Linked DNA regions of Rhinolophus ferrumequinum. Each later gene encodes a partner of the first gene's protein in a complex. Links are inferred from orthologs where the notes say so. Each region holds a gene or a part of one and is shown in the gene's direction. Other genes may lie near its edges.

Region 1 (7,395 bases):
ATGAATACAACTGGTAATGGGTATCCACGGAGAAAAGAGAGGTACACGGGTCAAAAACGTTAGGAAACACTGAGCACTCACTATATTTCCTTTTGTAGATGCAAAATACACACTAGTCTAGTACATTTTCTGAGGTGACCTTGGGAAACAAATCTCTTTATTCTCTGTTCAACCATTTGTTTCCTTTATTTGCTTGAACAAAGCCTATGTGTCTTTATCCTCTTACTGACAAGCTGTTCTTCATTGACTATAACATACCATTGATTGTAAGATGTAGCGTTACTTCATTTGCCACTATGAAAGAAAAAAAAAAAAAAAACCCGGCCAAATATAATTGTAATATGTTGTCTATGAGACACGTTATGATTTGAGAGAGGTTACATGTGAAAAATGTGAAACTTAAAATTGTTGATTAGAATCAGATTCAGTTCTTAAATATGTCGAACTATGGGGACCTTTCTTCTCTGAGCTAGACTATGTTGTTATTGTTCACTTGCAATTTTCTTTTAATCACCTTGAAATAGATATTACAGGATGCTAAAGTTGTAGCACAGATAACCCACTGAAAAACAGAGATTTGTGTTTCCTTTCATAGTGTAGAATATAACTGGTGCTGTGGGGCAGTACCATCAGTGACAGTGTGTGTGTGTGTGTGTGTGTGTGTGTGTGTGTGTGTGTGTGTGTGTGTGAGTTTTGAGTGAGGGTAACAGGCTTAAAGCTCAGGAGAAAGAGAGCCCTTGCAACTGGGTATGGCCTTGGGACTAGTTTAGGCCAATGAAGTGAGAGCAGAAATGATACATGTCACTTCTCAACAGAGGTAGTTAGTATCTATGGGTCTTCAGCACACTCATCTCAAAATCTGGAGAAAACTTGGAGGCTACATGCTGAATATGGAAGCATAACTATTGGATGGAATCAGATTCGGCGTAATGAAATTAAAGGAGCCTAGATCCATGAATTATTCTTGGAATACCTCCAATCAGGAATATCCTCATTGAGAATTTCATGAGCAAGAAATACATTTTTGTATTGTTAAGTAACTAAAATTTGGAGGTTGAGCCAGCACTTAGCTTAACCTAACACAGGTCAGCATTGTTCTTTCATTATTTCTTACTGAATATGCAGTACCTGCCAAATAATATTGAACACGTCTTCCAGAATGCTGGTGAAGAGGGGATTCCTCCACTGCCTGAGGATTACAGGTCCCGAGTTGACCTGGCTGCACATGAAGGGGTTGGAAAACCAAGTTACTTCCCATGCACCTGGCCAAGTCTCTAGTACTGTGCCCAAGGTGTAATTATTACTGTGCTGCAGTGAAAATTATGGGCCCAGGATGGTGGCTAATCACCACGTCTTATTTCATTGTAACACTGCAGTCAGAGCTGTGTCCATCAACAAAAGCAAGTTAAGATTTGCTAACCGAGGGAATAACTTCTCTTTTGTAGTTGATGTGTAGCCTGTCTTTTGGAAGAGGAACACAGAATCGAGATATCTTTGATGACTGTCAGTGGTACTCCCATGAAAGGGAAACACCTTTACAAGGGACGGTCCTGAATTCTCTAGTCACAGATAGAATTTTCCAGGAAGAGTTCTGTATGTTACATGTATTAACATCTCATGAAACATAGTCTAGAAGACCATGTTGAACCCTTTCTCTCAGGCCTCATCTTGACCATTAAAGGGTTTTCTCTCCAATGACAGGAAGATGATCTTATATTACTCTATTTATTTAAGTGCTGTGTCCTAATAACAGGTTTAGCTATGTCTTGCTGAAATAACACACATTTACTCTTCTCAGGATGTGGAGTGGTGTGTGTGTGTGTGTGTGTGTGTGTGTGTGTGTGTGTGTGTGTACATAGGGGACCTAGAGCCTCGAGGTCTGAGTAATTCACAGCCTCAGAATACTATGAACATGGCACGTGGTGATTCTATTTGCAATTTTAGAAAGATTGCTTTGATTTCAGGATAAAGGATGGATCGATAGAGTTGCTACATTAGAAGAGGTGAGTCTGGTATTGCACTAATCTAGGCCCAGGTGTGTAATAATAATTGGACAATTATTATTGGACAATTGTCCAATAGATGGAAAAATTCGAATTATTTTATAGATAAAATTTCTAGGACTTGGTAGAATGTTTTGTTTTAAAATGTAGTATTTCTTAACTCAGGTGTGGGGAGACCAACAGATCAGGAAGACTGTCATTGAAAAGATAGTCTGTTGCTCACAGTTTCCAAGAGGAGGGGGCATACCACCCCATGCAGGGCCACATGGAGAAGCACCAGGGTTCCTCGGGAGGCAGAAGAAGTGAGGGCAAAACATAGGCAGAATCCTGTACTGTGGTTTCTGAGGGAAAGGCGAGGAAAGGCAGGGGAAGCAGACTTGAGATTGGCTAGTTTGAATAATTTTAGCAGGCTCTGGGGTACTGGGCTTTTCTCTAGTTGTCTGGTAGCTGGCCTGGTGATGATAAGGGCAAAAGAATACAGCCTCCTAAAGTATAAAAGCCTGATAGAAGAGGGGGTTTAGCAATGGGCTTTGGATTGGTTAGTTTGCATATGAAAGGTGAGCTCCAGGGCAAATCATCGGCTATCTCTAAGGATTGGCTAGCCCTGGGAAGGGCACTCTATCCTCAGCAAGACCCCCTGCCAGAGCATCAAGAATACAGGAAAAAAATAACAAAATATAGTTGATATACTTTTGATGAGAGAAATGCGGAAGCCAAGGAGATATCCATTTTGGGTGAGTACGTAGCCGTGGCATGCTATTAACTCTCCAGGGAACTAAACTTTATTGAGCACCTACTATGTGCCAGGCACTTGGCTAAGACCTTGACATAGTCCCAATACTCAGAGCGCAGTTTTGACAGGGGGCCTATTTTTGGCTTAATTTTAGAGCTATGTTAAAGAAGTCTGCAAGTGTTTGCGCTCAGGTCCTATCACATGCTCCCTCGCAACTTGATTTCGTGTATTTTGGATCTGTGGTGCCTGCACAGCATCTTGATAGCAATATCTAGGTACCATGCCAATAATATCCCCCTTTTGTACTATGTTCTTATTTAACAGGAACACTTGCAGCATTGCAGATACTGTCCTAAGAGCTTCACAGATACCAGTTTATTTAGTCCTGTGACAATTCTTTGAGGTACATATTATTATCCCCATTTCATTCAGATTTTCAATTATCACTATAGCTACCAACGTATGGAATATACATACAGAGGAACCATGCACTAAACTAGGAGTTTGATGTAAATTAATTCAATTCGATCATGCAAGACAAATGTGGTCTCCATTTTAAAGACCAGAAAATTAAGGCTCAGTGGCTTATATCATTTGACTACTGTCACATGACTTGATTTCTATGAATCTCATGCATGCCAGCTTCCATTGTTATTAAAGCTTTTACTCCATTGTTCAGACCAGAAATTAAGGCTCGGTAATTAAGTGACTTGACCAATGCCACAAGGCCATAAGTTAAATCTCCCAGCCTGAATTTGAATTGTAGTATATTTGATTTTTCGTCTCAATCTTTTCCTACCATTCCTGTACTTTTCAAACTGTGTTTCACTGGAACTTCATTTTTAATCAGTTTCATAAATGTGAGTTTCTTCCCATGATTTTAGTAGGATGGATGGAACTATGGATGTTGATGACCTAACCCCTGACCTCAGAATGTGACTGTATTTTGAGAAAGCGTCTTTAAAAAGGAAATTGAAGTAAAATGAAGTCATCTGGGTGGGCCTTAATCCCATATGACTGCTGTCCTTATAAGAAGAGGGGATTAGGATACTGACACACAGGCAGATGGAGCAGATGGGTGCCTACAAGCCAAGGAGGAGCCTGGAGAGAAATAAAACCTGCTGACACCTTGATCTCAGATTTGCAGCCTCCGGATCTTTGTGAAAAAATAAATTTCTGTTGTTTAAACCACCCACTTTGTGGTACTTTGTTATGACAGCCCTAGGAAACTCCTACAACGGTGTTTCCACAACTAAAACAATACTGGAAAACCATCATCCTAGATAGTTACACAGAGTGACCAATCAGATTATTTCCCTAAGTTCACTAACACTGAGGTCATATGATTTACTGGGATAAAAGCCAGCTTCTTCTTGTGGTGACTCCAGCCACTGGTATGCAGACATTTTCTTCTTCTTCTAACTTCCCCTCCTGAGAAAGGGGAGGTAATTATCAGCGAAACAAAAGTCCAGAATGCGAAGCTTGCCACTTTCACTTCCTCTCTTGCCCCTTAACCCAGCTCTGTTTTGAATACAGTAATTGCCTTGGGGCACCGGAGCAAGGGAAAGAGGACAGCAGTGCCTCAGAGTCTGCCCGGCAGGCGGTTACAGCCTAGCATGCTCTCACAGGTGCATTTCTAGTCCCAGAAAATGCCGGGATGATGCCGCCCACCCGCCTGGCTGGGACTCTGATCCCAGCCATGGCCTTCCTCTCCTGCCTGAGGCCCGAGAGCTGGGATCCTTGTATGCAGGTATGTGTTCGGGGTGAGTTCATGGCCTGCGTGCTTTGTTTTGCTTCTGAAAAACTTCCTTCTGCCCAGAGTTTCCCACTGCTGGCTTTGGTTAGCTTTGTGTGCAAAACAGAGTCAAATTACCTTAAAGCCTTGAGAAGCCACAGGGACAAATAATTCATGGTTACCAGGCACTAACAGGCAGCCCATCGGACCGCGTCACATGTAGGACTTTAGGTTCAATAGACCCGCTTAAAATCACTGTTCTTAGGCTTCTGGGCTGTGTGACCTTGAAAAAGTTATCAAACCTCTCTGAGACGGGTTCTCACATCTATAAAAGAATTATAATAATGTCTACTTCAATAGAGAGTTTGTGAAAAGGCTGCTTCCTGTCATTCCTTTCCACGGTTGTCTGTACACTCAGCTTCAAGCAGTCACTTTGCCCCTTTGAATTTCAGCAAAAAGATGTTTTCTTGCCTCTTAATAGAAAGAACTTTCTAAAAGTATTCCAGACTTCTGAATCTAGTCATAGTTCTCTCCAAAGGATGAAAAGAAAAGATACTGGAGAGAAAAAAGAGAGAGACAGAGAGACAGAGAAATAGAAAAAGACAAAGAGAGGAAAATACAGAGAGGAGCGGGGAAAAGAAAAAGAATGGCATAAAATGTCAGTTAATGCAATGGTGTCTTTCTTTGTGAAACACCAAACATCTGGTTTGTAAACTCATTCATGATGGATCTCTTTTTGTTTTTCCCCTGCATGGACTTCACAATTGCTTTGGAAGCCCACGATAGAACCAAAGATCCAAGAGAGTGTCCTGGGATTTAGGGTGTGGCAGGGTCAGAAACTCAACAAAAACGTAATCCGCGTGAGTTCTGAAATTGAGCGAATTTCAGAAAGGGAATAGTGGACTTTCACATATAACAGAGATGAAGTTGTTACTTCAGGGACCTCTCTTCCTCCGATTCCCTGCCCACAGCCCTAGTCCTTTTCCTCCTCTCTGTAACTGCCCTGCTTTAAGATTAATGAAGAGAGATCCTTCAATCAGTGTCACCCCTGGATAAAATCACACCCGCTGCTGGCCCTCCCTTTCCTCATGTCCCAGTCTCCAAAGTCTGCCCATCCCCCTCAGTGTCAATCTAGCGCAAGTCCTTAGTTCCCCTGGCCTGGACTCTTGGATGGTGACTGGTCTCCTGACTCCATATCACCTTTCCTCTAATCCACTCTGCGCATTTTTGTTTGTTGTTGTGTTTTAACCTGAGGCTGGGTTCTAACAAATCACCTGATTTCAAAACATAATAATGCTCCACAGCTACCAGAACTGTTTCCTACGGCAGGACTTTTGTACTGGCTATTTCCTCTAGCTATAATGCTTTCCCCACACGATATGTAAACTTCAATAATAAATTGAAGTATCTATATTTAACTAAGTTTTAACTAATTAGTAGACACATTAAAAATAAAAAGAAACAGGTGAATTTAATTTCAATAACATTTTTATTTAACCTAGTATATTTGAAATATTCAAAATGTAATATATACAGAATTATTAATAAGATATTTTAGACTCCTTCTTTGGTACTAAGGCTTGAATGTGTGTGTGTGTGTGTGTGTGTGTGTGTGTGTGTGTGTGTACATAAACCATACACCGCAGTTTAGACTATCCACATTTCTCATGCTCAGTAGCCTTGTCCTAGATATTTTCATGGCTTAATGAGATATTTTGATATATTTGATGAAATATTTTCATCCCTCACTGCATTCAGATCTCTGCTTAAATATTACCTCCTCCAGACGTCTTCCTTGATCACCTCATATAGAGTTCCTCACTGTCACCCCATTATTTACCTCGAATCTCTATATATCCATCCCCATATTTGCCTCGAATCTTTTACACTGCTTTATTTTGATAGCACATCACTATATATATATATATATATATATATATATATATATATATATATATATATATATTTGTTCATTGTCTTTCCCTTTGAAATGGATCTGTAAGAGGGCAAAATCATTGTCTTTTTATCACCATATCTCAGTGCTTAGCACATAGTAGTTGCTCAATTTATATATGTCAAACAATAAACAATATTGCCAGAGGACAAAGTATGAGGCCTTGCCTTCTCTGGCTTAGGGTTTCACCACTCCCTCCATATGCCAGCTAATCTAAACTAGTTTTGCACTCCTTCTTACTCACACTCATCTTTTTCCTCTTTCCATGTATCCAAATCTTGTGCATCCTTCAAGAACCACCTTAAAAAATCTCTTTCTTAAAAGCCGTTTACCATCCCTGGATCCAGAATTGATCTCCACCTTTCCTGAACCACAGGAAATATATTTATGGCTCTTTTCAGTAGTGTGAGTTATGCTCCTGCCTTAACCCTTGCTCTGGATTGTGAGCTCACTGAAGTCTGGAGCAATATCACGCTGGTCTTTGTACTGCCCAAAACACTAAACAGAAAGTGCCTACAATCTGGATTGAAACAAACCTCCATTCAATCAGTTATTCATCTATTTATTCCACAAATCTTTATTAAGTATTGACTATCTGCCCAGCTCTATTCTGAGTGCTGGAGACATAGCAGAGAGCGAGACCGTCCAAGCTGACAATCTAGGGAGGGAGAGAAACGATACACATGGAACCATCACACGGACAATGTAATGTTAGCTGGTGATGCCTCCTGTGAAAGAGGATAAAAGAAGAGTGCATGGCACCGTCCTCTCTTAGACAGTACCGTCTGTGAGTCTGTGAGGCTCTCATTAAGGGTAGCAGTCACGGGAATGTAAATAAAGCACAGCAAAGGGAAGAGAGTCAATAATATTGTAATAACTCTGTATGGTGTCAGATGGGTACTAGACTTATTGGGATGATCACTTCGTAAGTTCTATAAACGTATAAACTCTATGCTGTACACCTGAAACT
Region 2 (7,185 bases), on another chromosome or scaffold:
ATTCTCTGACCTACGTTACCTGGATAAATACCTGTTGCTATCTTGGCAGTTAATGTGATTTATATCTTTCTATAAAAAATGATTCCATCAAATTGTTCATTATTAAATATTTGAAAGGAGAAGCAAGAAAAAAAATCACTCCTAAAAAACCCCAGCAATGTTAACATTTTAAAGTTTTCTTCTAAGGGTCATGTTCATCATAACTTGTTTAAAATGTCCTGTATCTGTGTGACCATTTTGTTGCCTGTGTAATGGAGTGAAAAACCTAATTTAATTAGAATAATTCTTCAGAAGACAACTTGGTTATTTAGGGAGAAGAAAAAAAGCTTAATTAAAAGACAAAGTGAGAAAAATGACTTCTCAAGGGCATAGAGGAGTGAGACCAGGATGCAGAAACAAATCAGCGTGCATAGGATAACATGATTCATCACTGAAATAAGTCAGCAGAAACAACTCAGGCCAAGGTAAGGAGGAGAAATAGAGGCACATCTGTCCATGCCATTTCTCTACCCTCACCCCAGGCAATGATCTTGGAAAGATAGGGAAGGTGATGAGTCTCCCACTATGTAGGGGACAGGCATTGAGTCACTTCTGAGTCTCAAAAGGCAGGGTGACCCTGGCTAACATCTGGGTTCCATCAGATAATATACCCTTAGACAATAAAATAATCCTTTTCCTCAATGTAGATCTTATTATACTGGAAGACTTCAGCTTTGGAAGCAAAAGTAACAAAATGGCCATTTGATAGGAATGATAGTCTTAGCTTGGAAACATTGTTAAGATTGTGTTCCTTGGGGGCGGCTGGATGGCTCAGTTGGTTAGAGCACCAGCTCTCAACAAGGTTGCCGGCTGCGCCCTCTGCAACTAGATTGAAGGACAACCACTTGATTTGGAGCTGATGGGCCCTGGAAAAACACACTGTTCCCTAATATTCCCCAATAAAAATTGTAAAAATTGTATTCTTTTTTCAGAACACTGTACTTTCATTGTAGCTTTTTATTGAGAATTCCAGACATTCAAAAGGATAAGAGTACAATGAAATAACATGACCAGTTTGTGGTCAATATTATTTCATCTAGACCCAAACCACTTGCCCTCTACTTTTATTTGGAAGCAAATCTCAAACATCATAACATTTCTTTCTTAACTGTTTAGTTTTATAACTATAAGGTAAGGACTTAAATAAAACATACCACTATGATATCTAAACTGCCTCCCTCCTAATGTTATCAAATATCTGTTCAAATATCTGATTTGAAAGTCTGTTCAAATATCTGATTATTTTATAATTACCCCCCACATTTTGGGAGGTTAAGACCTGAGTAAAATTCACATCTAACACCAATTTTTGAAATGTCTTTTAAGACTTCAAATTATGGATCCCTTCATTTTTTCGCTTTCCCCCCCCCTTGCAAATTATCTGTTGGAGAAACTGATTTGTTTGTCCTTTATGTGTTTTCATGGTCTAGATTTTCCGATTGTATCCCTGAGGTATCATTTAATGTGTTTCTTTGTCTTCTGTATTTCCTGCAAATCGATAGTTGCACTTGAGGCTTCATCCGGTTGAGGTTCGATGATTGTGGACAAGACTAACTCATAGATGATGTTGTTTGTAGTACCTGTTGTGTACCAAATTGCCCCTGAAACTCAGAGGTCAAAAACAACAACACATGGATAACATTGCGCAGTGTCTCTTGGTCAGGTGTTTGAGGTGACTCAGGTGAATGGTTCTGACTCAGGTGTCTCCTGAGGTTGCAGTCGAGAGAGCTGGTGCTGCTCTCATCTGAAGGCTAAACTGGGGCGGGAGGAACTGCTTCCAAGATGGCTCCCACACATGACTGACAAATTGGTGCTGGCTTTTTGGCAGGCGGTGTCAGTTTCTCACCACATGGATCTTTCTCTAGGGCTATTTGCTTCTCCCAGAGCAATTGATCCAGGAGAGCAAGATGGAAGCCACAATACCTTTTATGATCTACCTTGGAAGTCATACATTGCCATTGGGCAACATTTCATTAGTTCTACAGTCAACCTTATTCACTGTTGGACTACACGGGATTTGCCTACCAGGAAGTAAGGATCACTTGGAGGCTGGCTGCCATGGTGTTAAGAGGTACACGATGTCCTTCGGTCTCTGTGATGTTAGTTAGCAACCATTGATGCTCAATACCTTAGGTGTTGCAAAATGGTAACATCCTATTATTCTTTTCTCATAAATAGCTGAAATATTTCTAAAAGTAGAGGAAAGAGTATGAGAAGGCAAGGGGAAGTTGCCACTTTCTACGATTTGGTTACCGGTAGTTCAGTTTCTACAGGAAAGTCAAGATAAGTGCTTGATTCTTTCCCTTTTATTTACCAGTTTTCAAAATAGAGTTGGTTTCCTAGCATCTGCTGGTGATTAATTAGACTTAAAAAAAATTATTATGGGCCCATGGATTTAAATATCCTTGATGTATTTCCATGCCTTGCAGTTACTATCTTAATGTTCACGTGTACAGGTAGGCTGAAGTGGTCCCCACGGTGTTCAGGTCTGGAAGCTGCAAATGTTACATCATATGGCAAAGGGGGTTTTATAGACACATCTTGAGTTGGGAAGATTATCCGGGATTATCCAGATGGTTCCAGTGTAACCACAGGGTCCTTATAAGGGGAGGCGGGAGAGCAGAGGAGAAAGCAATGTGACGATGGAAGCAGCGATGGGAGTGCTGAACTTTGAAGATGGAGGAATGCAAGGATTGAAACTCGAAGCTGAGAAAGGCAAGGAAACTGGTTGTTCCCCTAGAGTCTCCAGAAGCAACCAACTCTGGCCACACCTACTGTAGCCCAGTGGCACTGATTTCAGACTTCTGATCCCCAGAGCTGTAAGTGAGCACTAGTGGATTGTTTTAAGCCACTAAGTTTGTGGTTATTTGTTACAGAAGCAATAAGCAACCCATCTTTGGTCAGTGGGACTATCTTCAAATTGATTCTCTAATGTGAGATGGTATTCCAGACTCATCTTGTACATTTTCTGCCCCAGACCCGGAATCAGCAGTTTCTCCAGTCTTTGTTCCTTGTAGTGGGAGATGGTATTTTGAGACCACTAGAGGCATTCACCTGGCTTTTCCTCCCTTCACCTCCACCCCCCACTTTCTAAACACATTTTTAAATTATGGGGAAAAAACATATAACAAAAATTTGCCATCTTAACTGTACAGTTAAGCACAGTTTAGTACAGTTCAGTATGGTGTTTGCTATATTTACATTGCTGTGTAACAGATCTCTAGATCTTTTTCATTTTGCAAACCTGAAACTCATATCCATTGACTAACTCCCCATGTCCCCACCCTCCCATGGATTTTTGCCTTTTAAAAAAGGGGAAAGTAGCACACTTCTTTAGTGAAACCTTTTACCAACATGTGATTATTTTCCTGTAAACTTAACAGATTTTGAGGCCCCAACTCCATGCCCTTTTTGGCTACGAATCCCAAACTACATCCTATAAAGAATTTCAAGTAACAAAGCATCTAAAGGATTCGCTGTTACTTTTTTACTAGAATGGAATGAAGAGTTTTGAAATACATGTCACACACAAAGCTGCGGCCATTTTATTATTAAGTTTCAAAATATTTCCTGGAGCTGTCGTTCGCTCGCTTGAGTAGGTGCATTTTCAAGTGTGGTGGGTCCCTGCCCACAATGCAGAACCGCAGTTAGCGTCCCATGTCTGGGGTGTCGTCCAGCCCGGCTCTGCCCCGTGGCTGAACCTGTGGTTTGCATACAACTATTCAGTGCAGATCTACACATCCAGCTCTCTGGGCCATGAGAAACTGTGGAAAGAGCCTGTGAGAGAGAATAGCAATGCAGATGGAAAAGCGGTGCCAGTCGGGTGGGATTCTGAAACAGACCTACACGCTGATTTTGTTACTGCTGACTGGGAAATCCCTTGTTTTATTGTTAAAGCTCTTGGTCTCTCATGTGCATCAAGTGTTGGAAAAGAGTGTCTTTGAAATCATTTTGTTTTCCTCTTGCAGGAAGTGCTCAAATATCACACACACACACACACACACATACATAAATACACGCAAAAGGGGAAACAGTTGGATCGGAACGTAGAAATCATGTGACTGATGACTCAGTTCAATCTTTTCTACTTACTGAAAAGGAAGTCTGATGATTTAGTTACTGACTGTCCTTGCATTGTTTTTTAAAGATTTGGAGATAGTAAATCATGTTCCCGTTTATGCTCTTTTCCACTCTGTTTTCTTCCATATTTACTGACCCTGGGGAGCAACACTGGGTCTGCAACTCCTCTGATGTGAGTGTGTGGTACACCTACTGTGGTAAGTAAAACAGCAACAAGTCTTCGCTTCAGCTATTGTGAGGGGGATTTTTCACAGGAACCTTACTCTCCTGTCGCTGGGACGCAGCAGGAAATGACTACTTGCAGCTGCCAGCAGGCTGCAAGACGGATGGCTGGACACCCCTGTGTGGGTTTTTTCGATTCTTCACAGACCTCACCAGCTCTAAAACCATTTTGTACTTGACCTGCAAGGGCCTCTGTTGTTCCCTATGCTCAGCTATCTCTGCCTTGTGCCCAGTTTCAGATTGTTCCGAGTTTCAGGGGAACTGTCTGCTTCTGAGCTTTTTTTGCTACTTCTTGACACAGAGGAACAATCCTCGCTGCCCCCTGGAATTGATGAGTGCTCCAAACTGTACTTTTGTTTTGTTTTGTTTTGTTTTGTTTTTCCAGCACAGTGTTGGGTGTATAAAGGGTGCTCTCTATGTGTTTCAGGCTTCATCTCCCTAATTGGATATAAGCCTGGTTCTATCCCTTACAGCTGTGTGACCTTGAGCAAAATACTTAGCTTCCATGTGCTCCAGGTTTTTTTTAATCTGTAAAATGAAAGTGGTTTTAGAACCTATGTTATAAGCATTGGGATGACGTAACATTTTCAGTACAGAGCTGCATAGAAACAGTCCTGAGTACTTCTTTTTTTTTTTTTTACATCAGCCTAATGATGCTATTAACTGGTTGTATTGCTGTCCGCCCACCCACCCCGACTCCACCACCTCCCCTCCCCCCCAAGCACAGTTTCAGGGCTTGACCACTGTTTCAGTTTGTTTTGGTTTGGTACTTCCCCCTGCCTTGCTCGCCTTGGGCTGGCTGGCCTTTTCTGCCCACTGCTGCTAGCAGCAAGGTTTAAAGGGACGCTTCCCAAAATATTAGTTCTTTGAGATTCTTTTGGGGAAAGGGATGTACGGTCTACGCATTTGGGGGGAATTTACAAATGTACTTTTGAGTTCTGAGTTCTGCAATGAAGAAACCGATTTAAGTCCCCAGATTTTCAATTGTATTGCATTTTATGTTTTGAGTGTGCGTTGACTGTCCTGAGAAACAACACAGTCCGGCAAATGCAAATAGAAAGTTACTTCTGCAGAATTAGAGTGATTGCCAACCTCACACTCGTGGCTTTTTTCACATACGTGGATTGTGCTGAATTCCCTCTCAGCTTACCTCTGAAATGTCTCCATCCTACGAAATCGCTGTCCATGGCTCCCTTCCAGGAAGGCTCCCCAGTCCCCTCGGCCCCCACTTCTCCCCTCTCCTTTCGCCCTTCTGCCCCACATGTCTTCTCTGTGCTGGGTTTCAGATGGCCTGCAGCTGTGCAACACTGTGTATTCTTATTAGCGTTTCACCTCTTAGTAACAATAATTTGATGTGTCTCTTGATTTGATTGTTGAGGGAGGATCTTGCCTCTTTCTAATGCTGAGAAATCCAGTGGTCCTTCCTTGCTGCCCACCTGCTGTCAAGACTACAGTGCCGCTCTACCTGCTGCCACTCCCTTCTCCACTTAAGGGAATCCTCGCGGAAAAAGCAGCTGCGCGGGAAGCACTGATTCCACTCGGTAGTGTCGTGAGGGTGTGGACGACAACCAACCCTGATTCAATCCTCTCTGTGCGAATGACTCCACTTGGCCAAGCTACTGGGTGTACGGTGTATTAGCCTGCTAGGGCTGCCATAGCAAAACACTACAGACTGGGCAGCGTGGACAACAGAAACTTAACTTCTCACAGTTCTGGAGGGTGGACGTCCAAGATCAAGGGTCAGCAGGTTAGGTTTCCTTCGGAGGCCTCTCTCCTTGGCTCGCTGTGTCTTCATCTCTTCCTATGGCCTTTTCTCTGTGTCATCCCTAAACAACCTAGTATATATATCTCACAACAATAGGTTCAGCTAATATCTCCCAGCAACAGGTTCAGCTAATATACATGACCGTATATGGATATTAGCTGAACCTGTTGTGGTAATCATTTTATAATATACAAGCGTACGTAAATCAAACCACCATGCCGTACGCCTTAAACTTATAGTAAAGTATGTCAATTATTTCTCAATAGAACTAGAAAAGTAGAGAAAAGAATCAGTTAAAAAGTCCCAAAATGGGGCAAGTGATTTTATAAAAATATATTTGGGGGAGTCCCCCCCCCACAAACACAGTTTAAAGTAATTTAGTACCTTCGACACCCACTGTAACAATATAAGGACATTAAAACACTCATCTATTTGCATGAGGGGGAGATTTCCTTTCGATATTCGTACAACATTTTCTATTTTACTTTGCTGGGGCAAGAACCCCTTATATGAGCTCTACCCTCTTCAACTTCTAAGTGTATAACAGATTTGTTGACGATAGGCGCAGGGCCATTCAGCAGATCTCTAGAGCTCATTCATCTTGCTTGACTGAAACTTTATGCCCATTGATGACAACTCCCCATTTCCCTCCCCCCAGCCCCTGGCAGCCACCATTCCACTCTGGCTCTATGAATTTGACTATTTTAGACACGTCACGTAAGTGGAATCATGCAGTATTTGTCCTTATGTGACTGGCTTGTTTTTATCACAAAAGGGTGTTGAATTTCATCAAATACTTTTTCTACATCTATTGAGATGAGGATGTGATTTTATTTTTTTTAATCCTTCATGTTATTAATGCACATTAATTGATTTTCATATGTGGAACTCTCCTTGTGTCTGAAGGAAAAATCCCACTTGGTCACGGTGTATAATTATTTTAATGTGTTGTTGAATTCATCTTGTTAGTATTTTGTTTAGGATTTTTGCATCTATATTTATCAGGGATATTGGCCAGCAGTTTTCTTTCCTGGTTGTGTCTTTGTCTGACTTTGGTGGCAAGGTAATGCTGGGCTAAA

The links.
Region 2: the proteins of TLR4 (region 1) and LY96 are in contact, whole or in part, in a crystal structure (PDB 4G8A), measured with the Homo sapiens proteins. The link is inferred for Rhinolophus ferrumequinum from reciprocal best matches to the Homo sapiens genes TLR4 and LY96. Residues at the interface, in NP_612564.1 of Homo sapiens: Gln39, Met41, Glu42, Asp60, Ser62, Phe63, Asp84, Ser86, Arg87, Thr110, Gly111, Val132, Val134, Glu135, Asn156, His159, Ser183, Ser184, Asp209, Leu212, Arg234, Val259, Glu262, Phe263, Arg264, Asn265, Glu266, Arg289, Ala291, Tyr292; in NP_056179.4 of Homo sapiens: Met40, Tyr42, Ile66, Pro67, Arg68, Arg96, Ser98, Asp99, Asp100, Asp101, Tyr102, Ser103, Phe104, Arg106, Leu108, Lys109, Gly110, Glu111, Thr112, Thr115, Thr116, Ile117.

The regions. Positions count from the first base shown.
Region 1 is NC_046295.1:68,786,255-68,793,649, forward strand, and holds the start of TLR4 (toll-like receptor 4), read left to right. Parts: upstream 1-4,123; 5' UTR 4,124-4,393; coding exon 4,394-4,486; intron 4,487-7,395.
Region 2 is NC_046297.1:8,797,526-8,804,710, reverse strand, and holds the start of LY96 (lymphocyte antigen 96), read left to right. Parts: upstream 1-4,100; 5' UTR 4,101-4,204; coding exon 4,205-4,316; intron 4,317-7,185. UniProt on the Homo sapiens protein: Binds bacterial lipopolysaccharide (LPS). Cooperates with TLR4 in the innate immune response to bacterial lipopolysaccharide (LPS), and with TLR2 in the response to cell wall components from Gram-positive and Gram-negative bacteria.